Oryctolagus cuniculus: one gene and its partners. The protein of the gene in region 6 binds, or shares a complex with, the protein of the main gene of each other region. Links are inferred from orthologs where the notes say so. Each region holds a gene or a part of one and is shown on either strand. Other genes may lie near its edges.

Evidence for each region.
Region 1: the proteins of F2 (region 6) and plasma serine protease inhibitor are in contact, whole or in part, in a crystal structure (PDB 3B9F), measured with the Homo sapiens proteins. The link is inferred for Oryctolagus cuniculus from reciprocal best matches to the Homo sapiens genes F2 and SERPINA5. Residues at the interface, in NP_000497.1 of Homo sapiens: Arg383, Pro386, Glu388, Leu389, Leu390, Cys391, His406, Cys407, Tyr410, Pro412, Trp413, Asp414, Lys415, Trp455, Glu457, Asn458, Leu459, Asn506, Arg541, Ile542, Asp562, Ala563, Cys564, Glu565, Gly566, Asp567, Val588, Ser589, Trp590, Gly591; in NP_000615.3 of Homo sapiens: Gln241, Lys295, Lys296, Arg297, Thr368, Ile369, Phe370, Thr371, Phe372, Arg373, Ser374, Ala375, Arg376, Leu377, Asn378.
Region 2: the proteins of F2 (region 6) and F2R are in contact, whole or in part, in a crystal structure (PDB 3LU9), measured with the Homo sapiens proteins. The link is inferred for Oryctolagus cuniculus from reciprocal best matches to the Homo sapiens genes F2 and F2R. Residues at the interface, in NP_000497.1 of Homo sapiens: Phe382, Arg383, Pro386, Gln387, Glu388, Leu389, Leu390, Cys391, His406, Cys407, Tyr410, Trp413, Lys415, Leu423, Arg425, Arg431, Thr432, Arg433, Tyr434, Ile441, Met443, Glu457, Asn458, Leu459, Asn506, Thr510, Lys517, Gly518, Gln519, Arg541; in NP_001983.2 of Homo sapiens: Ala33, Thr34, Asn35, Thr37, Leu38, Asp39, Pro40, Arg41, Ser42, Phe43, Leu44, Leu45, Arg46, Asn47, Pro48, Asp50, Lys51, Tyr52, Glu53, Pro54, Phe55, Trp56.
Region 3: the proteins of F2 (region 6) and F2RL3 are in contact, whole or in part, in a crystal structure (PDB 2PV9), measured with the Mus musculus proteins. The link is inferred for Oryctolagus cuniculus from reciprocal best matches to the Homo sapiens genes F2 and F2RL3. Residues at the interface, in NP_034298.1 of Mus musculus: Glu385, Leu386, Leu387, Cys388, His403, Tyr407, Trp410, Asp411, Arg428, Arg453, Glu454, Asn455, Leu456, Trp501, Gly502, Asn503, Trp508, Thr510, Gln516, Arg538, Ile539, Asp559, Ala560, Cys561, Glu562, Gly563, Asp564, Val585, Ser586, Trp587; in NP_032001.2 of Mus musculus: Asp54, Lys55, Pro56, Asn57, Pro58, Arg59, Gly60, Tyr61, Pro62, Gly63, Lys64, Cys66, Asn68, Asp69, Ser70.
Region 4: the proteins of F2 (region 6) and FGA are in contact, whole or in part, in a crystal structure (PDB 2A45), measured with the Homo sapiens proteins. The link is inferred for Oryctolagus cuniculus from reciprocal best matches to the Homo sapiens genes F2 and FGA. Residues at the interface, in NP_000497.1 of Homo sapiens: Phe382, Lys384, Ser385, Gln387, Leu423, Arg425, Tyr434, Glu439, Lys440, Ile441, Ser442, Met443, Lys470; in NP_000499.1 of Homo sapiens: Trp52, Pro53, Phe54, Cys55, Ser56, Asp57, Glu58.
Region 5: the proteins of F2 (region 6) and FGG are in contact, whole or in part, in a crystal structure (PDB 2HWL), measured with the Homo sapiens proteins. The link is inferred for Oryctolagus cuniculus from reciprocal best matches to the Homo sapiens genes F2 and FGG. Residues at the interface, in NP_000497.1 of Homo sapiens: His450, Pro451, Arg452, Arg461, Arg486, Ala489, Ala490, Leu493, Ile530, Val531, Glu532, Arg533, Cys536, Asp546, Asn547, Met548, Phe549, Cys550, His605, Phe607, Arg608, Leu609, Lys610, Lys611, Trp612, Lys615; in NP_068656.2 of Homo sapiens: Pro439, Ala440, Glu441, Thr442, Glu443, Tyr444, Asp445, Ser446, Leu447, Tyr448.
Region 7: the proteins of F2 (region 6) and SERPINE2 are in contact, whole or in part, in a crystal structure (PDB 4DY7), measured with the Homo sapiens proteins. The link is inferred for Oryctolagus cuniculus from reciprocal best matches to the Homo sapiens genes F2 and SERPINE2. Residues at the interface, in NP_000497.1 of Homo sapiens: His406, Tyr410, Pro412, Trp413, Trp455, Arg456, Glu457, Asn458, Leu459, Glu509, Thr510, Ile542, Asp562, Ala563, Cys564, Glu565, Trp590, Gly591, Glu592, Gly593, Cys594; in NP_006207.1 of Homo sapiens: Val225, Arg288, Ser355, Ala356, Thr358, Thr359, Ala360, Leu362, Ile363, Ala364, Arg365, Ser366, Ser367.

The regions. Positions count from the first base shown.
Region 1 is NC_091451.1:39,381,708-39,385,782, reverse strand, and holds the start of plasma serine protease inhibitor, read right to left. Parts: upstream 2,806-4,075; 5' UTR 2,667-2,805; intron 1-2,666. UniProt on the Homo sapiens protein: Heparin-dependent serine protease inhibitor acting in body fluids and secretions. Inactivates serine proteases by binding irreversibly to their serine activation site. Involved in the regulation of intravascular and extravascular proteolytic activities.
Region 2 is NC_091445.1:1,175,097-1,179,399, reverse strand, and holds the start of F2R (proteinase-activated receptor 1), read right to left. Parts: upstream 2,826-4,303; 5' UTR 2,754-2,825; coding exon 2,666-2,753; intron 1-2,665. UniProt on the Homo sapiens protein: High affinity receptor that binds the activated thrombin, leading to calcium release from intracellular stores.
Region 3 is NC_091447.1:65,131,244-65,134,832, reverse strand, and holds F2RL3 (proteinase-activated receptor 4), read right to left. Parts: upstream 2,251-3,589; 5' UTR 2,137-2,250; coding exon 2,022-2,136; intron 1,777-2,021; coding exon 716-1,776; 3' UTR 581-715; downstream 1-580. UniProt on the Homo sapiens protein: Receptor for activated thrombin or trypsin coupled to G proteins that stimulate phosphoinositide hydrolysis. May play a role in platelets activation.
Region 4 is NC_091439.1:11,081,300-11,084,099, reverse strand, and holds the end of FGA (fibrinogen alpha chain), read left to right. Parts: coding exon 1-578; intron 579-1,297; coding exon 1,298-2,007; 3' UTR 2,008-2,208; downstream 2,209-2,800. UniProt on the Homo sapiens protein: Cleaved by the protease thrombin to yield monomers which, together with fibrinogen beta (FGB) and fibrinogen gamma (FGG), polymerize to form an insoluble fibrin matrix. Fibrin has a major function in hemostasis as one of the primary components of blood clots.
Region 5 is NC_091439.1:11,111,660-11,116,068, forward strand, and holds the start of FGG (fibrinogen gamma chain), read right to left. Parts: upstream 2,857-4,409; 5' UTR 2,775-2,856; coding exon 2,697-2,774; intron 2,596-2,696; coding exon 2,551-2,595; intron 1,949-2,550; coding exon 1,765-1,948; intron 1,652-1,764; coding exon 1,558-1,651; intron 50-1,557; coding exon 1-49. UniProt on the Homo sapiens protein: Together with fibrinogen alpha (FGA) and fibrinogen beta (FGB), polymerizes to form an insoluble fibrin matrix. Has a major function in hemostasis as one of the primary components of blood clots.
Region 6 is NC_091432.1:19,212,949-19,216,567, reverse strand, and holds part of F2 (prothrombin), read left to right. Parts: intron 1-1,622; coding exon 1,623-1,937; intron 1,938-2,142; coding exon 2,143-2,256; intron 2,257-2,331; coding exon 2,332-2,458; intron 2,459-3,600; coding exon 3,601-3,619. UniProt on the Homo sapiens protein: Thrombin, which cleaves bonds after Arg and Lys, converts fibrinogen to fibrin and activates factors V, VII, VIII, XIII, and, in complex with thrombomodulin, protein C. Functions in blood homeostasis, inflammation and wound healing.
Region 7 is NC_091434.1:15,252,252-15,256,134, reverse strand, and holds the end of SERPINE2 (glia-derived nexin), read right to left. Parts: intron 2,410-3,883; coding exon 2,326-2,409; intron 1,374-2,325; coding exon 1,336-1,373; 3' UTR 614-1,335; downstream 1-613. UniProt on the Homo sapiens protein: Serine protease inhibitor with activity toward thrombin, trypsin, and urokinase. Promotes neurite extension by inhibiting thrombin. Binds heparin.

The DNA of each region.
Region 1 (4,075 bases), on a different chromosome or scaffold from region 6:
GAGCCAAAACAAGGCCACTAGGGAGGGACCAGACCAATGTCCTCATAATAGAAGGGGAGGTGAGGACGCAGATAGGTGCAGAGGTGAGGACACACAGGTGCAGAGGGGCTGTGGACACACAAGTGCAGAGGAGGTGAGGACACACAGGTGCAGAGGTGAGGACACAGACAGGTGCAGAGGTGAGGACACACAGGTGCAGAGGTGAGGACACACAGGTGCACGGGGCTGTGGACATGACAGGTGCAGAGCAGGACCACGGTGGGACACGGAGAAGGCAGCATCTATCCACCACGGAGGGGCCTGCAGAGACCCCCTGGCACCTCGGTCTCAGGCTTGGCCTCCAGCACTAGAGAGGAATTTCTGCTGCTCAGGCGGCGGCGGGGGGGGGGGGGGGGGGGTTGTCTCTGGTGCCCCAGGACACAGCCCATCTTCTCTTTCCATCTTCCAGAGGAGGAGGCTCTCCGCGTGGCCCTGGGGGCCGTCAGGTGGCCTGTGTCAGCTTAGCTCTTTCTGCCTGCCTTCTGCCTTCAGCACCTCCTCCCTCCCTTCCTCCACCCTGGAGCCATCTCCTGTTCCTGCTTCCCTGTCTGGCTTCTGTTCTAAGTCCCTCGTCTACCCCACGGCTTTGCAGAGCCCACACTGCAAAGCCCACTACCCGGTGCCAATCTCAGCCCTACTGCGGCCTGGTCATGTGATGTGGGGCAGGTCAGTTACACTGGAGCCCCCACTCCCACCCGAAAGGCAGAAGTGATATCAGGACCGGCTCCCTGGGCACCTGTGGCCTTCAGCTGATCACCATAGATAAAAGCTGGCAGAAGTGCCAGTGCATGAGGAGCCAGTGGGGCCACGTCTGGCCAAGGCCTCGCCTGAGACCCCATTTCATCTGCTTTGCGTGGGGTGCACGCCTTCTACACGTACCCTCCTGTGCACCTGAAAGCAGCCCCGGCAGCCGATTGCCGAGCTGCGGATGGCCTGCCTGCTTCTAGGCGGTTGTCCCCGCTGCGTTCCATTCCTGGAGTGAGTCCCCTCCTGCTGGGTTCTCTCCCACTCTGGGCACCATCCTATCGGGCCCTGCAGGCCCAGGGCAAGCGGGGCCAGCCTGCCGGTCACCTGACCCCAACCACGCCCAAGGGGCCCCCAGCAGTGGCGTGGGAAATGGTTGCTGAGCCGGGGAGAGATGGGCAGACCAGGGCTGCAGGTCTGTCTGTCTGAGCCACGTTGAGTACTCCTGGCCTCCACGCTGCACGCTGAGCTTGGAGAAGGAGGCTGATGGAGGAGGCTGTGCCTGCAGAGCCACAGCCCCCCGGCACCAAGCCAGCAGCCTCTGCCATCGCCGTGCGGGAGGCCCAGGCCCATGGTGGCGGCGGCACCTCTGTCGGGCACCGCACAGTGTTGACATTTCTGCTCCTCCAGCCTCACGCCTTTCCCACGGAGGCAGCTCCATTTCACAGGCAGGAAGACTGAGGTGCACCACTGCAGGGGTCCACTGTGACCCTGACCCTTGAGGCCCCAGTGACCTGGCTCTCCCAGCCTCTCTGGCCCACTCTGCCCTGAGGCCCAATTCTCCCAGTGCCTCAACCCCACTCTCTGCAGTGAGCTGTTGCTATCATGGACGAGGCGGGGCGAATGAGTGAGTGAGTGAGCAGGTGAAGGAATGAATGGACCTTGGCTCCTCCTGTGAAATCCGCAGGTGGCGGACGCCTGCTGGACACTGAGTGCTGGCACCAGAGCCAGGCTGGGCACCCGCAGCTGAGCTCTGCGGGTGACCTTGAGCATGAGCAGAGCGTGTGCTGGGCTTCCTCTCTGCTGGTCTGAGCTGATTTCATGAGCTGCCCCAGCAAGCACACGAGTGCGCACCATGAGGCCACCCGACAGTCAATGCCAGACGTGGCCGGCACCTCCCGCACCCCGGCTCTCAGGCTGGGGTTCCCTGAGCTGGGACCCAGGGCCCTGGCCCAGGGTAGCCTCTGCTTTGATTGCCGCTTTAGCCCAAGGGGCCATCCAGAGCTGTTAACTTCCTTTCTCTGTTTGTTTACTTAACAAAGCGCCTAAGGGCTCCTGGAGCCACCCCACGACTGCCCCTGGGGGCAGCCCCCAGGCAGGGCCCTTATCTCGGGGAAGGAGTTATCTTTGGCCATTTCTCCTGGTAATTTTTCTGAGTCTCTAGGCCCAGAAAATAGCACGAGCCACCACTGACTGAGGGCTGTCTAGCAGACACCTTCCCGCTGCTTTATTTCAGGGCTCCCTGACCTTGGCCCAGGGGGCACAGGCAGCAAGATCCTTCCCTCTCCGGGGCCCTGCTGTACACTGGGGGGTGTCTGGCGATGTCCCTGGCCTCCAGCCCTTAGTACCTGTCCTACCTTGTCCAGCGGTGACAGGCCACCTGTCTCCAGACACTGCCGGCTGTGGTGGGGTGAGAGCCACACCATGCAGAGGCTCTGCCACATTGAGTGTGGAGCCCGAGGTCCTGGAGCGGGGGTGGGGGGACCCTCTCTGCTGCCTCAGAGCCCCGCTTGCCCCCTGACCCTGCAGGGGCCCTTCCAGCTGCTCTGACACTCCCCCAGGGCTCTTGAGCATTGTAAGCCCACCATGCTCCAGGCTGCCTGTGCCCCTCCCTGCACTCCTGTGCCTCCCACGGGCCCCCCGGGAGCAGGAGCTATACTTACTCTGCAGGCCCAGCGTGCACAAAAGGAGGTGGCGGTCTGTCGGACACAGCAGAGGGCAGAGGGCTGCCTGGAGACAGCCAGCCTTTGTACCTGACTGACCACGGTGGCTCTGTCTCCACCCCTCCTCTGGCCCCGCCTGGCCCCGCCTGGCCCCGCCTGGCCCGCCCTGTCCTGTCCCAGCAGGCTTCCTGTTGAAAGCAAAGCAGCAGGAGCCAGGGGCTGTTACCAGGCCCCTCTTACATGCTCCCAAGCCCCACACTGATCACCACTTGCCTGGAATGGAATGGCCACTCTGGGGTGGGGGTGGTTTACACGGGCCACTGGCTGCTGCCTTCCAGAAATGGGGAGGGGGCACCCTCAGGCCAGTCCTTCCCTTTCACTAGTCTCAATTCTTTTTCTGCAGATTGGGAGAGCGTGGCTTGAGCCTGGGCTGGGCTTACTGCATCACAGACCATGGCAATTGGAGGAGAGGGTCTCCGTGAGCCCCCCACCCCCACCCCCCACCCAGCTGAGACAAAGGGTCATCACAGAATCCAACCCCCTGAGTGCACTAGCGCCTGCGCCGAGGCTGCCAGGGCAGAAGGAAACATCCAGCGTCACACATGGTGTTAGTGGCAGAAAGAGGCTTGGTGCCCGGGGGCTGACTTCAAGGCCAGCGCTCTTGGCTGCACTGACCCTTCCTGCCTTGAAATGAGGGTCTCCAACTCTGTCCTGGCCTCTTCAGAAGACTCCCAAGCGGCTGGCACAGGGGCCTGGCTGAAGCCTCGCTCCATGACCCAAGGCCCCATGCTGGGCTTCCGCTCACCGCAGGGTGCTGCGTGTGGGCGCAGGCGCAGTGTGGAGCTGGCTGAGCAAAACACAGACCGGGTGCTTCCCGGGGGAGGCGTGTCCCTCCCAACGGCCGAGACCCCACCTTTCCCTTCTCCCTGACTTTGGAGCCCAAAGAGTTCTCTATGTTTCCCCAGCAGAGATAAGAGGGAGTGTTTAGTAACACTTTTTTATGTATTTATTTTGTATGTATCTCATACTTACAACATTAGAGACATAGTAACTCTTCCCACCGCACCCGCCCTCCCACCCACTCCCCCCTACCCCGCCTCCTCCCTCTCCTGTTTGGTCCAAGAAAGAAAAAGAAACAGAAAGAATGGAATTAAAAAACTAAGAGGATGTTCCTCAATGGTCTGGACATTCTTGGGGTCTTTAAAGACAGTGAAGTTTCTAAAAGGAAAGAAGGGGAGGAAGGAAGGGAAAAGAGGAAAGAAAAGGAAAAAAAGCGAAATCATCACCTTCGAGAAGCAGCAACAAAGAACAGCCCTCGTCTGGTGATGCTTTTTAAAGGACCACACACCAAACCCAGGGCTTCGGGCACGCTGTCTTTGCAGTCTTTATAACCATGCTGCAAGACAGCT
Region 2 (4,303 bases), on a different chromosome or scaffold from region 6:
TCAAGAGCTGCGGTCAGGGGCCCGTGCCCAGTGAGTCATTGTGCTTTGGCTGTTACTCTGCAGAAAGAGCAGTGCGGGTCCTCAAGTCAGCCGACCTGCCCTGCTGCAGCCTCCCGGCTTCTCCAAGCACCTCGGGGCCGCGGGACTGGATGACCACATGGGGCCGCGGGACTGGACGACCACACGGGGCCCCGGGACTGGACGACACGGGGCTGCGGGACTGGACGACCACAGGGCGCCCTCTTGGGCCATGCCTCTCCCGCCTGACCCTGGGAGCGAGTCCACGGCGGCCTCCCCCAGCCGCCAGCCGGCAGGACTCCGTGCTGCCCTGTGTGGCTCAAGCTGGGGGAATGAGCAGAGGCCCAGGGCCAGGCCCAGGTTCCCACAAAGGTTCCCAGGTTCCCAGCAAAGCGCACAGGACCCAGGGGTGCAGCCACGTCTTCAACAGCAGCAGAGCTAGGGTTCAACTTGAACGAGAGCAGACAGCTCCTCTCCAGGTCTCCCCCACGGCGCAGGGTGCATGAGCAGGGGGCTGGGTCGGCAGTGGAGCCGGGACTCGAGCCCAGACGCTGCAGTGTGGGACGTGGGAGGGCCCCGTCCCCTAGTGACTTCAGGTCATGCCGTTCGAGAGAGGGTCAGGTTCAAGAGCAGCGAGTGGACGAGCAGCGCCGCAGGGGCACAGAGGGTCACGCTGGCCGCAGGGTCACAGGAGGCCGCCGGGGGCCGCGCTGTGGCGCAGGGGGCGGGGCCTCTGCCTGCCGGGGTCCGGCTGCGGGCTGCCAGTCCTGGCTGCTCTGACCTGACCCCACTCCTGCTAACGCCGAGAAGCCCGCAGTGACGGCTCCAGCAGCCGCAGACCAGGATGGCGCTCCTGGATCTCGGCTTTGGCCTGGCTCAGCCCTGGCTGCTGCGGCCAGCAGATGGAAGATCTCTCTCTCTCTCTCTCTCTGTCTTATCAGTCTCTGTCTCTCTCTGCCTGTTTCTTACGAGACGCCAGGCAGAACCGAAGCTCGATGCTCAGTGCAGGGGGTCGGCTGCCTCCCGGGAACCTCCGTTCCCACAGGTCCCACGCTGGGCCCCGCACCCCTCCCTGTCCTGCTGCGGCCCCCGACCCGAGCGACCCACCAGGAGCAGCCCTGGGGCGGCTTCCTCCCAAAGCCGGGAGCCGGGGTTCTGCTGCCGCGGCACGGCTGTGAACCCCGGGGGCGACTTGGCAGGGGTTATGGAATCAGCTACAGCGACAGCAGGAACGCAGACTGTGTAGGATGTTCCGGGAGAGCACGCAGGGCAACTCCTGGGTGAGGGCCGTGGTGCCCTCGCTACCTGCGCAGCAACTCCATGGCTTCCAGTTCTCACTCGTGGTTTGCACAAGGGAAAACCGAAAACCGCCTCGGGACCCCAGCGCCGGGTCTCCAGCCTGTCACTGAACCAGGGGTCGCGGCACACGCCTCCTAAAGTTACAGACGCATCGTCATGAAAGTGACAGGAACCTCGCTCACTTCTCAGGGAGCTCCTTCTGCAGCACCCGCAGACGCCGCCTCGTCACCCGGCTCAGGGGGTCTCCGGGTCACGGGGTGGGGCGGGAGGGGGCCCAGCCGAGTTCACCCCAGAAAGAGCACGGCCACAGCGCCAGGTCTCCACTGCAGGGCTGCAGGTGGGAGTGAGTGGGAGACAGGCAGCGGGGAAGAAGCCACAAAGCAGGAGCAGGTGGGAAACGCCGCGCTGAACCTCAGCGGCACAGCCATGCATGCACCAGGGACCAGATCCCGGGGGGTTCTCCCGGTCACCCCCCAGAGTGACAGGCAGAGGCACCCCGCACACGCAGAGCAGAATGGGCGGTGCCAGGGCGCCCCAGGAAAGCTGAGGAACCAGCTCTCAGCAGGGCACTCCTGGGCGGGGCTAGCCAGTGGGCACCGGCACTCGGGACTGCCGGACAGAACCTGGCGTCTGCTCCGAGCCGAGCCCAGCTTTCAGAACCGGCAGGAGGAACCGAGTCCCCGCCTTAACCAGGCGATTCCAGAGGGAGCGGGTGGCGCCAGGCTGGAGAGAGCAGACAGCCGGCCACTTTGCCCTCAGCCTCCCTCCTGCCGCCCCCACCCCCCACTCCCTGCGAGGCTCCAGGCCCCGCGGACGCCGGCCAGTCCCTTTCTGCGCTGTCCGTCTCACGGAAGGAAGCAGGGGACGTGGCAGGACCCGGTCAGGGGCCCCGATCTTGCCCACCGCGTCTCCACCAGCCTGCGGGCTCCCCGACGGCCGCGCCGGGCTGCGGTCCTGGGACGCCCCAAAGGCCAAGTGTACACGGCGAGAGTGGGGCGCCCCCCACCCACGTCGTCCCCACCCGACCCGGGCCCCGACGGCTCCCGCGTCTGTCACAGCGCGCGGGCGTGACCGGCTGGACGCCCTGCCCGCAGCTCCGGAGCGCGGCCGAGCAAGCCGTCTGCCCTATTGACCTGGGCAGGCGGCCTGACCGGCGGGCGAGGCGTTCCAGCTGCGGGACGCCCCTGCCCCACCCTGCGCCCCCCCCCCCAGCCACGTCCGCGGGCACCGCGCGCAGGGCTCCGGCCTCAGCCACGCGCCGGGGGCTTCCGGGGCGCACTGCGGCCCCGGGGACCGGCCGGGCACCCTCGGGGCTGGACTCAGGGTCCGACCCGCTCCCGCCGCTCACCTGGGTCGCGGTGTGGGGCGCGGGCGCTCAGCAGAGGCCAGCACAGGCTGAGGCCGGCGGCGACCAGCAGCAGCCGCCGCGGCCCCATTGTCCCGAGTCGCGGCCGCTCTCCCGGGTCTGCGGGCGCGCGGGCACTGGCGGAGCTGGAGGGGCGGAGCCGGGGGCGGGCGCGGGGCCCAGAGGGCGGGGGAGACGCTGGGGGCGGGGCCTGGGGCGGGGCTACCGCGGGCGCACGGGCGGGGGTCCAGGGAGCCGCGGGGGGCGCACTCCTCTGCCTCCGCGCGGCGCGCGCCTGCCGCTCGCCCTGGGTCGCCACCTACCGAGACCGGCCGCTGCCTCCGGACCCAACCCCCGGCCCGCTCCGGCGCCCTTGACGCGCGCGGCCCTGGGGACCCAGACCGCGGGTTGCTGGCGCAGACGCGGCTCCGGTTCCGCAGCAGCGCCGTGTGTGCAGGGCTGCACGCGGCGAAGTGGACACGGTGCTCCCGAGCGTGCCGCCCGTCGGCTCATCTATTGTTCTATTGGTTATGGTGTTTCAACAATTCCTTCTTATTGATTTTAATTTTATTAGAAAGGCAGAGAGCGTGAGAGCGTCCATCTGCTGGTTCAGTCCCCAAATGGCCACCATAGCAGGGCTGGGCCAGAGAGAAGCCAGGAGCCAGGAGTTTCTTCCAGGTCTCCCGCGTGGGCACAGGAGCCCAAGGCCGTGGGCCATCTTCTACTGCCTTCCCAGCCCATAGCAGAGAGCTGGATGGGAAGTGGAGCAGCCAGGACTCGAACTGGCGCCCATGTGCGATGCGGCACTGCAAGCGGTGGCTTTACCCGCTACACCACAGCGCCGCCCCTCACACGGGTTGGCTACTTTCTTTAGTGTCACTCTTTAATCTTCTAACGTGAAGTGATGTGCACCCTGCTTGTCCACCGCAGCCACATTGTGCAGATTTTTAGACGCATACGGATGTAAGTTGGGCCTAAAGTTTGGTCAAGTTCATTAAGCCGTCGATCCATGGACTACTGGCAGGTTCCGAGAGGCATTTTCCCAGCACTTTCTGGCCCCGTGTGTGGTCTGTGGGTGACGCCTTCTCCTTCCCGTTCTGTCCCCATACTAGGAAGCCCCGGGGAGCCCGCGTGCTCTTGGGGGCCCGTGGGGGAACTGTGGTGTCTCCAGTGGCTCTGCCGCCATGCCAGCCCCCCGGGCCGCGCCTCGGCAGCAGCACTCCCCCAGGTGGAGCTGGGACCAGGGCGCTCGCTCGCTCCGCAGCTGTGTGCTGGGAAGAGCAGAACAGGCGGCGTTTAACTCCGCGTTCCGAGAACTGAAGTCCCCTGGGTTCCTGGGAGGGCAGCGTCCTGCGGGAGCCCGGTGCCGCTCATTGTGCTCGCTGGCTCTGCTCTGTGTCGCCGTCACCCAGGAGTGCGGGCCCCCGGGTGCCTGCTGCTGGCGGAGTTTGCACACAAACACGACAACGTCCTGAGCCGAGAGCTAACCCCAGGTGAGAGGAGGCAGTTCCCTCTGGCCGGTAAGTGGTCCCTGCGCCCCTGCCCAAGGCTCCCCAGAGTGTGCCCGCAGAACCTGTCCCTTCCGGCTGCAGACAGCGTGCTGAGACCGCAGCTCACACGAGGACAGCGGGTTCTCCTGGA
Region 3 (3,589 bases), on a different chromosome or scaffold from region 6:
CTAAGGAGGAGGGAAGGGGCTGGTGTCCTGGGCTCCGGGTGTGGCTGCCCACGCCAGGGAGGCCCGCGGCCACTCGGACCGCCCCCACGAGCGGGGTGGAGCCAGAGGCTGAGTGCGAGGACCTGGGCGTGGTGTCCAGCCCATCTGCATCTCATTCCTCGTCGATTTCTCGCCCCCCCACCACGCCCTGGGGCCGCTGTAATGGAGTCCCTCAAACCAGGTCGCTGAGGACAGGACATTTATTGCTTCACGGGCCTGGAGGCCGGGGCTCCCAAAGCAGGGTGTGGGCAGGGGGCCCCTCTCCGGCCTCCGGGGGAACCTCTCCTGCGCCTCGGCTCGCGGCTGCACCGCGCCAGCCTGTACCAGCGTCCACAAGCGGCTTCCCTTCTCGGCTCTAGCTCCGCCTCTGGCGCCTTTAGCTCCTCCCCTGTGCTTCGGTGCGCCGCCCATCGCGTCTCTCCCCGCCCCTGCGCCTCTAGCCACGCCCCTTGCCCCCGCCCCGCGCGCCTCTAACCCCATCCCCTCGCGTCTCTGGCTCCGCCCCTCACGCAGACGTCAATCATAGCAGGTGTCAGCAGGTGCTCCAGGATGGCTCCATTTCCAAGGTTCCAGGAAGGGCGCGAATTTGTGAGGGAGGCCCCCCCAGTACTCTTGTCGCCCGCTCTTGACGGGGTGGGGGTGGAGTGGGGGCGAGCGGTGGGGGGGGGGGCGTCCCTCACAGCAGGGAGGAGGAGCGAGTGCCCGAGGCCGCCGGGCCGCCGCCCTCCCCCGAGGCCTTGGAGGCCGTGGCGCCCCCTGGCGGCCGGCGGGAGAGCCCCTCGCGCACCTTGTCCCTGAACTCGGCCGAGACGTAGTAGTACACGAAGGGGTCCACGCAGCTGTTGAGCGTGCTGACCGCCAGGCTGGGCACGTAGGCGCCGTACAGGTCGCCCCAGCCGCCGTGGCGCGGGTTCGTGTAGTGCAGCAGTAGCAGGACGTTGCTGGGCGTGAAGAAGCCCACGGCCGAGGCCAGCACCAGCGCGGTCAGCCGCAGCGCGTGGCCGTAGCGCTGCCCGCCGGCCGCCAGCGTGCGCAGCGTGGCCCCGTGGCACAGCAGCATGGCCAGCAGGGGCAGGAAGCAGCCGAGCAGCGCCAGGCAGGTGAAGGCCGGCCGCCAGTAGGCCAGCTGCGCGTCCTGGGGCAGCACGTCGTGGCACAGCACGCGGTCCGAGCCGGCCAGCCGGAAGGTCTGGCGCTGCATGAGCAGGGGCGCCGCCAGGGCGGCGGCCGAGAGCCAGGCGGCGGCGCAGAGCCCGGCGGCCAGGCGCTGGCCGCGCAGGGCCCGCGCCCGCAGCGGGTGCACCAGGGCCAGGTAGCGGTCCAGGCTGACGGCGGCCAGCAGCAGCAGCGAGCCGTACATGTGGCCGTAGAGGGCGGCGGTGGCGGCGCGGCAGGCGGCCTCGCCGAAGGGCCAGCGCTGGCCCCGCAGGTGGTAGGCGAGGCGGGGTGGCAGCACCAGGGCCAGCAGCAGGTCGGCGGCCGCCAGGTTCATGAGCAGCAGGGTGGAGGGCAGGCGGGGCACGCGCGTGGCCAGCACCCACAGCGCCAGCCCGTTGGCGGGCAGCCCCACCACCAGCACCAGTCCGTAGAGGCCCGGCACGAGCCGGGTGGGCACCCAGCCCAGCAGCAGCTGCTGAGAGCCGTTGGACAGCCGCAGCGTGTGGCTGTCATTGAGGCACGGCTGGCCAGGGAAGCTGCGGGGGCGTGCTGGAAGGAGAGAGACAGTGGAACCCCCTGCTGGAGAGAGAGAGAGAGAGAGAGAGAGAGAGGGATGCAACTGTCAATCAGGGGTAGGGGCAGGGGTCGCTTAGGAGCTGCGGTCTCTCCGGCTGATGCAGGGGATGGAGTGTCCCCCCGGGGGACATGGCCCAGCCCCCAGGACCACAGAGGGGTCCCCAGCTCCCTCTCCCCACACGCCCCACCCCCACCCCCCCACAGCTCCATCTCTGCAGTCCACCACGGCCCAGGCTGGGTTCACTCACCTTCATCACCCGTCGGGTTTTCCGTCTCGTCGTAGTCACTGGGGGCCTGGGTGCTGCGTCCCAGGCTGCGCCCCAGCATCAGCGCCCAGAGGAGCAGGAGCCGGAGCCGCCACATGCTGCTGGGCGGGCGGGCGGCCAGGGCTGCTATGGGCTGCGGCCTCTCTCCCCTTCACAGGGCTTCCTGCCCCCCTGACCCCTCTGCCCCCAGCTTCCGGAGCCGGGGCGGAGGCACAGGCAGTGTCCCCACGGGGAGATAAACCCGGGAGGCACAGCCCCTGCCCCCACAGGCCCACTAGAGCGCCCCTGGTCCCCCTGGGGGAGCCCCGAGTGTACACTGCCCCGGCGGGGAGGAGGGGTGGTGCTCCAGGCCATGGGGCACCTGAGATGCCTCTGGCCAGTGCAGAGCCCGACCAGCAAGACGGGAGGGGGTCCCCAGCCACAGCCCCTGTTCTGGGCCCCTGTCCAGCCCAGGATGTGTCTGTGGCCTGAGTGCTCACTTCCTGCTGGCACAGCAGGGCGGGGGGAGTGGCCATCGGGGGCTCTTGGCCCTTCCTGAAGCCCCCCCTCCCATCCCCACTTCCTCCTCTCCCTGTGGGGCAGGGCAGGAGCCTGCTTTGCGGGGTCAGAGGTCCACAGCCTGATGAGGGCCTCTCCCAAGCACCTGTGACCTCTGAGGGGGCCCCGTCCCCTCCGGCTGCCCCAGAACCTTCCCCCTGGGGAAGAGCAGCAGAGGTGCAAGGTGCCTGGTGAGCCTGGGGTCTTGTGGGAATAGCTGGGGGTGTGGGGGAGCATCTTGGTCCCTGGCGCTGCCCTGGGGTCTCAGTGGACCTCAGCCGGTGCCCCCTTGGGAGGCGCCGGTCTGTCCCTGGTTGTCACAGCCGCTCAGCTCCTGGTCCTGGCTCACCCCCAGCCTGGGGTCCCCCGGGGGTGACTCCCAAAGGCAAGGACCAGGCCCCTCCCTCCTCCAGCTGCCCCCCATCCCTGCACCGGGGCACCGGATGGGCACAGTTCATGCACCCTGGGAAGATGGTAAACTGAGGCACAGGGTGGGGTGCCTTCCTGGGGCCCATACCCAACCCCACAGGGCTGCCCGGCCCACCCGGGGGGCCCCTGTGTGGTCAGGGCTGGGCCAAGCGGGGCGGTGGGGGGGGGGGAGATGGAATGGACTGGAGGGGGAGGGGCTGGCGTGGCTGTTTCCTGCCCTTGGAGCCCTGGTCTGGTCACACACTCGGGGACTCCCGGCACCAGCCAGCCAGGAAGTGACTGAGCAGAATGTGGGAAGGCAGGCGGCCCCCCTCTGGCAAGCGGGGGCCCGGGTGTCGCTCCCCCTCTTCATGGAGGAACAACACTAAGCCCTGCCTAGGCTTCATATCCGAGTCACGGCACCATTATGTCGCTCCCCCTCTTCATGGAGGAGCGACACTAAACCCTGCCTAGGCTTCATATCCGAGTCACGGCCCCATTATGTCGCTCCCCCTCTTCATGGAGGAACGACACTAAGCCCTGCCTAGGCTTCATATCCGAGTCACGGCACCATTATGTCGCTCCCCCTCTTCGTGGAGGAACGA
Region 4 (2,800 bases), on a different chromosome or scaffold from region 6:
CGAGAGGGCCACGTCTGGTAGCAGCAGTAGCACGTCCACCGTGCGTCGTTCTTGCTCCAAAACCATCACCAAGACTGTTACAGGTCCCGACGGCCACAAACAAGTGGTCAAAGAAGTGGTGCACTCTGAAGACGGCTCTGAGTGTCCCGAGGTGCCCGATCTAGACTCGATGCACTCTTTCATGTCCAGAGGCAGCCTGGATGACTTCTCCTTTAGGCACCCTGGCGAGGCATCTTTCTTTGACACTTCCTCCACAGGAAAAGCATCAACATTCCCAGGTTTACTTTCAACTTCTTTCAAAGAGTTTGGCAGTAAGAGCCAGTCTATGGGCTCTGAATCGGACTTCTTCACAGATGCGGAGGGAGCCGGTTCTCACCACACGAGCTTCCCTTCCAGTGGCAAGACCACAACTCATAGAAAACAGATAGTCACCAGCCACACAGCGTTCAACAGAGGAGGCTCCACCGTCGAGAGCAAAAGCTACAAAATGGCAGATGAGGCTGGAGGGGAAGCCGACCAGGAACTCAGACACACCCACACCAGCAGGAGAACCCATGCTAAAGTGCGCCCTTCCAGAGGTATCCACACTTCTCCTTCGGGGAAGCATTCTCTGACCCCCTAGACTAAGTTAATTACATCTGCAAAATGCTCCCACGGCACCCTGTACTTCTTTCTATTCCTCTTTATTGAAATTGCACTCTTTTTTGGGGGGAGTCTCTCTCTCATGTTAGACTGTAAGTTCCATGGGGGCAGGGACTTTGTCAACTCTCTTCATCTCTGTATTCCCAAATGCCTAACAGTGCAGACAGTCATCCCTCAATAAATACATGTGAAATGAAATGAATGAGTTCTTCTGCAACTCGATTTGAGTTTGTCTAACCAGATTCTTTCACCACTCAAAATGCGTGCTGTTCGAATTGCTATCCAATAGATTAACCATGCTTTCACTGCATGTATCAGCTGACATTTAGATAGGTAAATAACAAGTTGTATTAGTATTAAGTGATGCTTAGTCGCTTTTTCTGATCACTTGCTATTCGTCAGTATGCACAAGTAAAATTCCAAATCTATTTGGGGAAAATAATCTTAGATTTTGTAGGTGTCTGCTCCTCACTTGCACAAAATCCTATCCGAATGTAAATGCATCCTTTCCCCACAAGGGGATGGAAGAAAATCAGGAAGGAAGGAAGGAAAGGAGGGAGGGGAGTAGTATTTGTCCTCTTTAATCTGCGCCATGCCTATCTTTGTGAAGTTAAATGAGAGTAACTTCTTCCAACCAGCTTAATTTTTTTTTTAGACTGTGATGATGTCCTCCAAACACATCCTTCAGGTGCCCAAAGTGGTATTTTCAATATCAAGCTACCGGGATCCAGTAAGATTTTTTCTGTTTATTGCGATCAAGAGACCAGTCTGGGAGGATGGCTTTTGATCCAGCAAAGAATGGATGGATCACTGAATTTTAACCGGACCTGGCAAGACTACAAGAGAGGTTTCGGCAGCCTGAATGACAAGGGGGAAGGAGAATTCTGGCTAGGCAACGATCAGCTCCATCTCCTAACGCTGAGGGCCTCCGTCCTTAGGGTGGAGTTAGAAGACTGGGATGGGAGAGGCGCTTATGCAGAATATCACTTTCGGGTGGGCTCCGAGGCAGAAGGCTATGCCCTGCAGGTCTCCTCCTATGAGGGCACCGCCGGGGATGCTCTGATTGAAGGCTCCGTGGAGGAAGGAGCAGAGTACACGTCTCACAACAGCATGCAGTTCAGCACCTTTGACAGGGATGCAGACCACTGGGAAGAGAACTGTGCGGAAGTCTATGGAGGAGGCTGGTGGTACAACAACTGCCAAGCAGCCAATCTCAATGGCATCTACTACCCTGGGGGCCCCTATGACCCGAGGAACAACAGTCCCTACGAGATCGAGAACGGAGTGGTGTGGGTCCCGTTCCGAGGGGCAGACTACTCCCTCAGGGCTGTTCGCATGAAAATCAGACCTCTGAGGACCCCATAGACTGGACTGGTGGGAGCGGGAGCGCGCGGTTCTTTTGTTTGTTTAGCAAAGTGGAGGGAAAATAAGGAAGATGAGATTCTTCACAGCCTACTAAAAAACTCCCAGGTGCTATTTTATCATTCTTTGTACTGTAGCTAAATGTAACTGAGATATATTAGTGCTTTCCAAAATAAAATTACATGAGTTTTTTTAATCTTTAAATAGTTCCATGGGCCTTAACATTTTTATAAGGATATGCCAAGGGACTTTGGTTCACTCCATCAGGAAGGGGAGGCAGAGGGAGGCTCCTCTTTGCAACCCTGCAGGGTACTGCCAAGAAAACTGCTCTTTCCATAGCTCCCAATGTCACAGGACGGAGACCAAGTACAAAGTTCTTGCATTCATTAGACTTGAATAGTTTCAACCAACATTTTATGTTAAAACTCACCCTGTTGAACATTGCCTGGCCTCTGTTGAATCCACAAAGTGTGCTCATGTCTTCTGATAGAAAGCAAATCCAGGAAGGCAGGGGAAGCATTCTTTTTCCTACTAAAAATGGAAATCTATCCTCAGTCTTCCACTGGAGACCATGGTGCACACTTACATTTCGGGTTCTAACCAATGTCTTTCCAAAATGTAAGAGAAATGCACTGAAGATCTAAAGTGGGGTGGGCGTTTGGCACGATGGTTAGGATACTGCTTGGGACACCTGTGTAACATGTCAGAGGGCCTGGGTTCAAGCCCTGGCTCTCCTCCGGATTCTAGCTTCTTGTTTATGTTCACTTTGAGAGGCAGCACATGGTGGGTTGAATAC
Region 5 (4,409 bases), on a different chromosome or scaffold from region 6:
CAGGTTAATGATCTTTTGATTGTTTGAGTCATATATTTCCTGCAAAAATCTACAAACAGAACAATAAGACACCAGAAGAAAAGTACTCCTTTTGGGGGAGTATGTTTGTATTGTTTCAAAATCCTATCATTTATTTAAGAATTACTGCGTGACAAATTCTATTCTTAGGACAGCTATAAAATTCTGTCATTAAATTGGGGTAAATTAAAAGTCCATGCTTCTTTGTAAACAGAAGTGCACACACACACAAACACACACACAATCAATTACAGCAGAAATATAGTTTTGACTTGCATCTTTCACCTGGAGCAAGCATGTAACCTGGACTCTGAATACAAAGTCCTTGTCAATAAACAAAGGTCCCTGGAAGCGATCCTTTTGGGTTTTTGCTGGTGAGAAGCCCGGCTGATGGGAGCACCCGGGGTAGTTAAGAAGTGGCAAAGGGTCTGTTTAGTAACTTCCATGTGCTTTTAGCTGTGGATCCACTAAAGCTCTGTTTACAGACTTCAATCTGTAACTGACACAGGAAGAGTGTGGGAGGCATGGTCACAGGTAGAACACCAGCCACTTTCCCTCTCTTCCAGTGTTTCTCCTTAATAACTTGGGAAAAGGGCTGGAGGAAGTAAACCCCCTGCTTTTGTGATCTCCCATGGGGTGCTTGTAAATACGCAGAAAGGACAGAAAACTCCAATGCACAGACTACTGTTGTCTTTAACTTGTGAACAATTTAGACAAGTTATTCAGCTACTTTCTGCAAAATACTCTGCTTCAACTGCAATGGTGGGCAATACTAATTAAATGGCAATGAAAATAGCAATCCCAAGAATAGAATAACAATGACTTTCTGATACCAAAGGGAGGAGAGAGCCTCCCTGGATCATTTCTCTGCAGCCACTATTTCTCAGGTTGCTTTGAGAATTATTTGGAAAAAAAAAAAAAAAAGTAGGGAAGAAACTAAAGCTGTGTGTAAGGGCCCATATTCCGAAAGCTCCTGAGTTCCGGGGGGGGGGGGGGGTGCTGTGAGCAGAGACCATTTACTTCCAAGCGAAGGCAGCAGCCTGTGTAATCGCAGGTTCTCTGTGTCACGATCAATACAAAGCTTTACAATATTAAACGTAGTCTCGGGATTTTTTTTCCCACTTCAGTCTCATGTACTTTAGTAGCCAAGACCCTGCTTAGACTTCTACTTGCTAATTTTCTACCAATTGCTTGTCCTTGTTATAAAGCAAATTTGATTTTTTAACATCCATATTCCCATGAGTTTGATTTTACATTGCAAGACAAATAGGGAGGCATTGAGATAAATACGGTCATAATGGCAAATTTGAAGACATCTAGAACATCTTTTTTCCTGTGTGATTTTTAAAAAGGATATACTCAGTTCAATCTTGCACTAAAGACTCCTGCTTCCATGGTGGTCAAGATAGCCACACATACTGTCATCGGATGTTATGAATGACAACAAAAACACCTGGAAGTGTTCCTCTCACCGGAGCATGGGCTGTTAAATAAACACTAAATCAGTCTTGGAAGGCAAATTAAAACAAACATGCTTACCGGATACTTGACTCGTGTGATAGAATCAGTGCTTCATATTTCATTATTTCTTCCACCATTTTCTTGGATTTCTGAGTAGCACTGTCTATCTTATCTGTAATGTGAGAAGAGAAACATAAAAAGCCACGTAAGCAAACAGAACACTGGAAACACCAGCAAGAAAACTTCACAAATGATCTTCTCGTTCAGAAGACCTTAGGTCCTCACTTGGTACCGATGGTTCAGCAGTATCGTAGCTGACTTTGATTGCTTTGATCAGTTCGTTGGCTTCTGTTGATCTGTTTTCTATTTGACTTAACATGTGTTCCAAAGTCTGTAGATCTTCATGCACAGTGGATTGGAAATTATACATAAAATCTGCAATGCCACAGGTGGTTGGGCAAAAACTACCCTGAAAATAGAACCATCAGATAATTACAACTCTTGACACAAGCTATACTTCAAGTCTATTGATATGGGGTGGGCGTTTGGCATAGTGCTTGAAACACAACTCGGGATGCCCGCCTGCATCCCGTTATCAGAGTGCTTGGTTTGAGATCCAGCTCTGTTTCTGATTCCTGCTTCCTGTCCAGGGAAACAGCAGTGATGTCTCAAGTAGGTGGGTGCCTGCCACCCACGTGGGAGACCCTGATTGAATTCCTGGCTCCTGTCTCCACCGGGCTTAGCCCTAGCAATTGTGGGCATATGGGGAGTGAACCAACAGATGGCAGATCTCTGTCTGTCTCTCTTTCTCCCTTGCCCTTTCAAATAAAGTAATTAATTAAAAGATTAAACAAATTCTATAAATAAAAATAGGTAAAGCCTAGACAAGGAGGAGTTTCCAAAAAGTTTGTGGAAAAATGCTTGCTATGTTTTCATTCCATTTTCTGTGAATGTTGTGAAATCCACTCGCACGTTTAAGAAGTTTAAACTGTCAAGTGCACTTAGAGAACTGTTTCTGTTTCTCCACCCCTCTGCCATTCCGCCCAAGTGAGAAACATGCTGAGTACTTACGAATCTTTGGTCTAAGATGCAGCAGTTCTCTCTGGTAGCCACGTACTAAAGGAGAAAAACACAGAAGTGTCACTGGTTTATCACACATCATCTTATTCTCTCAGCTTTCCACTTGAAACCACCTGTGTGGGGAACAGCACACTTACAGCCAGGCATGTTGAAGAGAGCAGTGAAAGAGTACAGAAATAGAGAATTAAACTCCGCGGGTGCACGGACCAACTCATGATGTCTTGGGTGCCCGGTGCTCCAAGCCCGGCAGTGTCAGCTCTGTGGCCTCCGGGGCTCCGGCTGTCCCTTTATGTGAGCTCAGGCTCTGGCTGGGTGACACGGCGAGTGGCTGGAGCTGATCACGGGGCCTCCTTCCCGGAAGGGTGGGGACATCCTTCCCGTCCCCTTGTCCCTTTGTCTCCTCCTGGCCGTCACCTATGCCCAATCGGCTTCCCAGATTTTGCACACAGGTTTAAGCTCCTCCTTTTTGGGGCCAGCTCACTGTTTTACCTCTGATCTAAAATCTTCTCTAAGGCGGGTGAAGCATTTGCTTGGCCGAGAGGAGGGAGAAGAGCCAGAGGCTGCATTATGCAACTTCTTCCCAAACGAGCTGACAGCAAACACAGAGGTCCCACCTCCCTCCGCACAAGCCCTCCCATCCTTGCGAGGGGCCTGCCACCCTAAACTCAATTACCCAAGGCCTTTCCTAGCTCCTGGTTTGAGGCAGAACCTTGTTTAACCCATGGCTTTGGCACCGGGAGTCAATGCTTTCTCCATGTCTATAATGCAATACTGCTAGGGACCAGTAACACTGGGAGCTACCTTGCTGCCCCTCTCTTGGCCGTTCCCATAGGTTCTCAATTCCCAAGGAGCTTTTCGGCCCTATGCATCTCTTTGTCTGGGAGAACCAAGGCTCCACACCTGACACGCAGGGGAAACAAGCCAGGAGCCCATGTGCTTTCCCCAAGGGGTCATCTGGTTACATCTGAAGAAAGTTTAAGGACAAGAAGGGGGTGTGTGGAAAATCTATGGTCCATGTTCTGACTACTAGGGACACAGCTGCAGGAAAAAGCAACAAAAGAGGGAGGGGAAGGGCCATTGTCTTTGTTCTGCCCCCTAAAGCTTCCCTGCCTACGGAGGAAAATGTCAGTCTTACTATTTCCTATTGATAGCTTACCATGTGTGTTAGGGCTATTACTAATCTCCCTATTCTTGGTTCCCCTGCATTGCCTCCCCGGAAACCAACCTTACTTCAAACTGTGATGAAGTAGGTTAGCGGGAGAAATACCCCTGATTCACAGGAAATGCCGACACTTCAGTGCTTAGTTCTGAGTCTTGACAATGCAATAGTTAGGTTTCTCGACTTGAAAACAAATATAAATGTCTAGGTGCCGTAACGATCAGTCGTCATGATAACAAAGTGACTCTACCAAAAACCGCATCTTGCCTTGTTCTCTTCCTGTTAGCTCCCCTCCCTGATCCTTCAGTCTTTGTCAATGGTGTCGCCACACCACCAGCCAGTTAAAAAGTCTCCCAGCTTTTCTCATGCATCTCATCTGATTAGCTGGGGTGGATGAGACAGCGTCTTGTTAAAAGTGTTTGTACACCGTCGCTTTCGTTTTATGCCTACTTTCCGCTTATACTGCTCCCATCCTGGTAGAGGCCCCAGTTACTTCTCTGGACTGCCTGCTTCCTTTTCCCCACCCAGCAACTTCCCCCTCTGAATCATTTGTGGCTGGGACTGTGACATTCACCCGCTCAAGAGCCTGCGGAGACTCCCTGTCCCCCATCACGGACACCTCCAGTGTCTCCTCCTGCCCTCACTGCTTCTCTCCCTGAGTCTGACTCCTACTAAGAGACTAAGCAAACGC
Region 6 (3,619 bases):
CCTGTGTGATTTCATTCATCACAGGCGCCAGAGTGTGGCCAGACAGACAACCACACCATCTCAGGTGCACTGCGTGATGAGCCCGTGTTTCTTTTCTTTTCTTTTTTTTTTTTAAAGATGTATTTATTTATTTATTTATTTGAAAGGCAAGACTTACAGAGAGCAGAGGCGGGGCGGGGGGGTGTGTCTTTCATCCACTGCTTCACTCCCCAGATGGCCGCGACAGCCAGAGCTGAGCCGATCCGAAAGCAGGAGCCAGGAGCTTCTTCTGGGTCTCCCACGTGGGTGCAGGGGCTCAAGGACCTGGGCCACCTTCTACTGCTTTCCCAGGTCATAGCAGAGAGCTGGATCAGAAGAGGAGCAGCCGGGACTCAAACCGGCCCCCATATGGGATGCCTGCACTGTAGGCGGCGGCTTTACCCGCTATGCCACAGCGCCGGCCTCAAGAGCCCATATTTCTTACGCGACTGTGGACAGGCCAGGTGGCTCCGCTGGTCTCAGCTGCTGTGGGGTCCACTGAGGGAGGCTGGGCTGGGCTGGACACCTCTGCCTTCACTGATGGCTTGAGCTGAGCTTGGCTCCTTGCTCCAGGGTTGGGCCCAGATCCGTGGCACACATTCAGGGGGACATCAGAACATTTGTGGAAAAATGGAATTAAAATCATCCATTTATTTTGGAATAAAAAATTCTTCTGGTGCCAAAAAACCTTTTTTTTTCTCCCACAGTATGTGGAAAATGCGCATTCTGAAAAAGCTATGCATGGGCTTCAATATGTTTTTGCACCAAAATAACTCATACTTTTCACTCCATTTTTCCATGAACTTTTTGAAGTCCCCATGCGTTCATGGTCAGGGGGGAGGCAGAATGAGGCAGCTGTTGACACCAGAAATATACCATTTGTGTTTTTTTTTTTCAGGTTTATTTATTTATATGAAAGGCAGAGGGGGAGAGAGGGAGAGAGGGAGAGAGAGAGAGAGAGAGAGAGAGAGAGAGAGAGGTTTCATCTGCTGATTGACTCCCCAGATGGCTGCAGTGGCCAGGGCTGGGCCAGGCTGAAGCCAGAAGCCAGGAGCGTCATCTAGAGCTCCCATGTGGGTGGCAGGAGCCCGGGCACTTGGGCCATCTCTCGCTGCTTGTCCCAGGCTCATTAGCAGGGAGCTAGATTGAAGTGGAGCAGCCGGGACACACACGGCAGCCATGTGGGATGTTGGCATGGCAGACGGCAGCTTCCCCGGCTCCGCCACAGCACCTGCCCCGTCACCAGTCATCTTAACCCAAACAGCTGCCTGTGACCAGCATCCGCTGACGTCTGTCCCTGCCCTGCCCTGCCCTGCCCCTAGGGAAACAGAATCCTGGCGAATCTCCCCACAGTCACTCCCAGTGGATTACAGCTGGCCCAGGAAGCCAACCCTGGCTCCTGGGCTGCTGCAGGTCTTGCTTAGGCCTCCCACCTGCAAGAATGCCTTTAGCAAGCCCTTGAAAAGCAGGCAACAGAAGCCCAGAGAAGTTAGGCTGCCTGAGGTCGCTGGGGCAGACAGCAGCCAAGGCGCGGATTGGAATTCTTGTCTGGCGCCGCCTAGCGGCGGCCCACCCACCCTACTCTCTGCCTCCCCACCCACCAGGCCAGGGGCAAGTGACCCTGGAGCTGAGACCACGCACTGGACACTCCGGGGTGACGCAGCCCCCGCCACTGGAGCCCTGCGTCTCTGAGCGCGGCAGGCACTATCAGGGGCGCCTGGCGGTCACCAAACAAGGGACCCCTTGCCTGGCCTGGAGCAGCCCGGAGGCCCAGGCTCTGAGCAGGGGCAAGAGCTTCAGCCCGCAAGTGCCGCTGGTGGAGAACTTCTGCCGCAACCCGGACGGGGACGAGGAGGGCGCGTGGTGCTACGTGGCCGGGAGGCCCAGCAGCTTCGAGTACTGCGGCCTCAACTACTGCGGTGAGTGGGCCGGCAGAGGTGGGCGTGGGGGGCGCAGGGCCTCTCCCCGTTTACAGACGAGTAAACTGAGGCCCCGGCGGTACCTGTGCTGTCGGCCTCCAAGGCCAGCAGGGGTGGGGGTGGGGGTGGGGGCAGTCTAGGGGACGCTCTGAAGAGTGGCCCAGCCCAGCCCAGCCCAGCGCCGACGGTGCCTGGGCCCCTGCAGAGGAGGCCATAGAAGAGGAGGTACTTGGGCTGGAAGAGGCCATCGAGGGGCGCACCACGGAGCAGGAGTTCCAGACCTTCTTCAACCAGGAGACCTTCGGCACCGGGGAGGCGGGTGAGACGAGGGCGGCCCTGGGGGGCGGTGCGGGGGCGGCGGGGCCGGGGCCTCACAGCCTGCCCTGCTCTGCAGACTGTGGGCTGCGTCCTCTCTTTGAGAAGAAGTCGTTGAAGGACGAAAGGGAGGAGGAGCTTCTGGAGTCCTACATCCACGGGCGCATCGTCGGGGGCCGCGACGCCCAGATCGGCAGCGCGCCCTGGTGCGTCCGCCTGCCCCGCCACCCGCCCCGCGCTGCCAGGGCCACGCACAGCCCTGGGAAGCCCTTTCCGCCCCCAGGCTCAGGGTTTACAGAAGCTCTGGGCGGGGCTGAGCCTGGTGCTTCTGCTGAGCAAACCTGGAGCCAGCTCTGTCCAGTTAGTTCCCTGCTCCCCGCTACTTAAAGGTTCGTTTATTCATTTGAGAGGCAGAGTTAGAGAGAGAGAGAGAGAGAGAGATTTTCCATTTTCGGATTCACTCCCCAAATGGTCTGCCGGGTCTCCCAGGCAGGTGCAGGGGCCCAAGAGCGTGGGCCATCTTCCGCTGCTTCTCCAGGCCACAAGCAGAGAGCTAGATGAGAAACGGAGCAGCTGGGACTCAAACTGGTGCCCAGATGGGCTGTGGGTGCTGAGGGAGCATCTTAACCCTCTGAGGGCCCTCCAGCTGGTTTTAGACTTATTTACCTGAGGCAGAGTTACAGTCAGAGATTCCCCAAATGGCTGCAATGGCCAGAGCTGGGCCCATCCGAAGCCAGGAGCTTCTTCCAGGTCTTCCATGCGGGTGCCGGGGCCCAAGCACTTGGGCCATCTTCCGCTGCTTTCCCAGGCCATCCGCAGGGAGCTGGATCCGAAGAGGAGCAGCTGGGTCTTGAACTGGTGCCCACATAGGATGTAGGCAGACTTAGCCCACTACGTCATGGCACCAGCCCGCCCCCCCCCCCCCAGCTAGTTCTTTATTTTATTTTATTTATTTGAGAGGTAGAGTTACAGACAGGGAGAGACAGAGAAAGATCTTCCATCCACTGGTCCACTCCCCAAATGGCCACAAGGGCCAGAGCTGGGCCAATCTGAAGGCAGGAGCCAGGAGCTTCCTCCGAATCTCCCATGCAGGTGCAGGGGCCCAGGGACTTGAGCCAACTTCTACTGCCTTCCCAGGCCATAGCAGAGAGCTGGATCAGAAGAGGAGCAGCCGGGACTCCAGCCAGCACCTGTATGGGATGAGGGCACCGCAGGCAGAGGCTTTAGCCTATTAACACCACGGTGCCCCTCCCCACCCCCCAGCTAGTTCTTAAGCCAGGGGCTTTCTACTTGCAGGGCTGGTGGAGGGCGGGTCCCCAGCTCCTCACGGCCCCTGCTCCCCTCCCAGGCAGGTGATGATTTTCCGG
Region 7 (3,883 bases), on a different chromosome or scaffold from region 6:
CAGCTGTTGCAGCATATTGGGGAGTGAACCATCGGATGGAAGACCTCTCTCTCTCTCTCTGCCTCTCCTCTCTCTGTGTAACTCTTTCGAATAAATAAATCTTTAAAAGAAAAAAGAGCAACAAGTAGAGTTCATGAGCTAAAAAGAAAATAAATTTTTAAATTTGGTAAGAGATGAGTGCTTGAATTCAACTTGGGAAGTTATCCCAAAAGACCAAAATGTTTGTTATGTCAAAAAAACTCTCAACTCTATCAACAAAAATGAAGCATTCACTGTTCCCTTAGATTTATAACACTCAGTAAACACTCAGCACTTGCTACAAAAATCCCCATCTTTGCTGAGAATACTTAGCCATTGCTTGAGTGAACGGCAATTAAGGTTTGAATGAGGATGTCTATAATAATTATTCCTCGAAATGATCTATAAACTGAGAAGTGTTGAATCTGGGAATAGTGTTTGATTGTCAGGTTTAGAGAGAAAAGATAAGCAAAGTCCAGGGGCTTCAAGTTTCCTGCTGTTTGCCTAAGCACAAAGGCTTATTACAAGAGGTTGACATATTTTTAAAAGGCTCAATTTTTTTTTTGCTATGCTTTCAAAATAGCAGAGAAATGGCTTCTTTTTCTACCCATAACACTTTATTTTTACTTTGTACAAAATACAAAAATGCAGATCCAAAGAGTACAGACCAGTAGTGACAGGCACACTGCACAACAGCAAATCTTGTGTGGCAAGACATTAGTTTTTTAAAACTTTATTTTAGTGAATACATGCATTATATAAAACAACAACAGCAGCAACAACAAAAACACAGAGAGGCTAGAGATTTTGCTATTTCTACCCCCAAAATAATGCTTGCTATCAAGACTTTGGATGGAGGTGGGGAAAGAGAATTAAAAAGGCAAATATTTATTTCCATAAAAAAGTAAAAGCTACCATAAAATGTCCTCATTTTTTTCCTGTCACACTGATTACATTTCTTTTGAAAAGCCACACAAATAAACAGAAACAAAAACAAAAATCCTGAACTGAACAGACAGCAAACACTCAGGAGGGTTTGTTAACCTAGGTAACCATTCAGTAGTTTAAAGAATCTTCTAGACATGTCGAAGCCTTTCTATTCACTCTCAGTACAGTGTTCCATCCGTCTGCCCTTTTACCCTTCTAATACCTCCCAGAACAGAATTGCTTGCATCACTGAGTCTGTTGCTAAGAACTAGTTTTGAAAAAGAAAGTAATGTACAAAAATATTTAACAGAACTATGAAAGATGTAGGAAAGGAGTCTTTTCTTCATAGCAAAGTAGTCTGCTCTTTGCAATGGTTCGTTTGTATACTCTTCAGGGTTTGTTTATTTGCCCCATGAATAAGACAGCACCTACAGAATTAAAAGGAAACAATATATAAAAGAATAATCTTTACAAGAAGTTGAAAGACATTATATTTGGTCTGTGTTGGGGGAGGTGCTATGTTTAACCTATCACTTGGTAATACTGTCTAATAGAACTTTCTGCATGATAGAAATTGTCTTTGCTTCACAGACCAGTAGGGTAGCCCCAAGTGACAAGTGCCCAACTGAGTGCTTGAAATGTGGCTGGTGTTACTAAGAAACTGAATTTTTAATTATATTTCATGGTAATTTAAAGTTAAACAGCCACATGGCCTGGAAGCTGCCACACTGAACTGTTTGGCTTCTGAGCACACTAATTAGAACATTAAAGATGCAATGAGATAGAAGGATGAGGAACTGTTTTCTCTAACTGATTTTTAAAAAATAGTAGAATCTATAATTTCTTAGTGCCTGCTCTCTACCAACAAGAAGTCAAACTTTAAAAAGAAAGTCATGTACTTCATTATTGTATTAAGACATAGGGATGCTTGTTATGTTCATTTTAATTATGACACTAGAGGTCAGGGCCAAGTATGAACACATAACTCATAGAGCTAAGGTCTATTGATCAAGCAATTCTCAGGTCATATTGGCACTTTGGGCTTGCAAAGGTTAAAGATGTGTAGCTCCTTGCAAACCTTACTGCATTTATAAAAACATGGAAAATCCAGCAGATGTCCAAAATATCCCATTGACCTCTTTGCATGTTAGAAACTTAAAAATATACCCAGAATTTGGTCAGCTTTCAAAAGTTTCCATCACATTCTAAAAACACAGTCTTGATTTCCCTATCTACTGTGGTGTTTATATTATTGAAAGTGTTTGTGAAACTGACACAAGAGAAATGGACTAAGGGCAATACTGTCAGATCAACTGCAACTGCAACGCGTGTTTCTGAATACTAACAACTAGTGAACAATGGAACAGGAGAGTTACTTACCTGTCGGATTATGTCGAATGAAAAACAGAAAAGGTCTGTCTACTATAAACCAGGGAGGTGATGATCTTGCAATTAGAATTGCAGCTATGGGAAGAAGAGGAAAATGTGTTATACACCTAATGTGAGGCCAGCAAGGTAGTTAGCTAGAGGGACCCTCAGAGGCAGGTATTTGAGGATACACTTAATTCCTGCCCCATAGGCTGGCTGAATTAAAATGGGCTCAACAGTCACCATGTACTGAACACCTGCCGTGGGCCAGACCCTTTATATTTGCCATCTCATTTGTTCTTTAGAAGCACTATCTTCTCCAATAGATGTACTTACTCTTCATGGAGTTTTTATGAGGACTGACATAAAACATGTTCCAGCTATTAGAAAGTGATTGCCACTCAATAAACACCCAATGCCTATTCAATGTTTTTTTTTTTTTTTTTATTATTCATACCATCTGCCTTGCTGATAAAGGCCCCTGTCCCTTTTTATCCAAACCCTTTCTGTATATCAAGGCCTAGCTTAGTCCTTAATATTTTTATCAGTGCTTTCTTCTTTGACAAATCATTTAGAGGTGTTCCTTGTGCCAGAAACTGGAACACTCTGGACAACTTATCTCATGGAGACATCTGACTTACAAGCTTCTGGAGGCTCATGGGTCTTACACATGCCTGTTCTGCCACAGCTACCAAAGGTGGCTTCCACTGGAAAGACACAAGGCCTTGAAGGAGGGCAGGTGTGAGGCATAACTACCACACCTCTGCTGCAATAGCTCAAACCCCTGAAAAGCATTAACAACTTGAGCTTGACATTATAAAGGAAACACCTGCAGATTCCGGAGCAAACCATTCCACCCAAGGGTCATTAAACACAAACTATAGGTGTTACAGGCCCGGTGGTGTCCCTTTCAAAATTCATTATGTAGAAGCTTCAACCCCTAATGTGTCTTAGAGATAGGGCCGTAAAGGAGGTAATTAGGTTAAATGAGGTTCAAAGGGTGCTTCCAATAGGACTGGTGTCTACATCAGAAGGCGTAGAGACACCAGGATGGACACACAGAGAAAACAGCCATATGAGGACACTGTGTGGAGGCACCCTCTGCAAGCCAGGGGGAGGGACTTGAGAAGACGCCAAACCTGCCAATGTCTTGGTCTCGGACTTCCAGCCTCCAGAACCATGAGAAAATAGATTTTTGTGGTTTAATCCATCTGCACAATGGGAGTTTGTTATGTCAGCCTGAGCTTATACAGCAGGACCTGGGTGGCTACACAAGGCCCTGCACTTGGGTTTAACAAGGTTTAAATGTCACTACAAGACCTAAAGAAGATTTAAGTCATCTTAAAAATTCCAGCCTGCTTATTCTAGGTCTTTGTTTTAGATGCTCTTTTAAAGCAAGGAAAAAATGTTTGAGAAAGGCAATAAAGCAAGCATCTCTTGTGAGTATAAACAGTGTGTTTCAGTGACCAAAAATATTCTACCCAGCTACAAGTTTTGCTGATACGCACTTTATGAGCTCACAGAATTTGGTCAAATCTCTTCATCCAATATCATATGGATAATTAGAGGC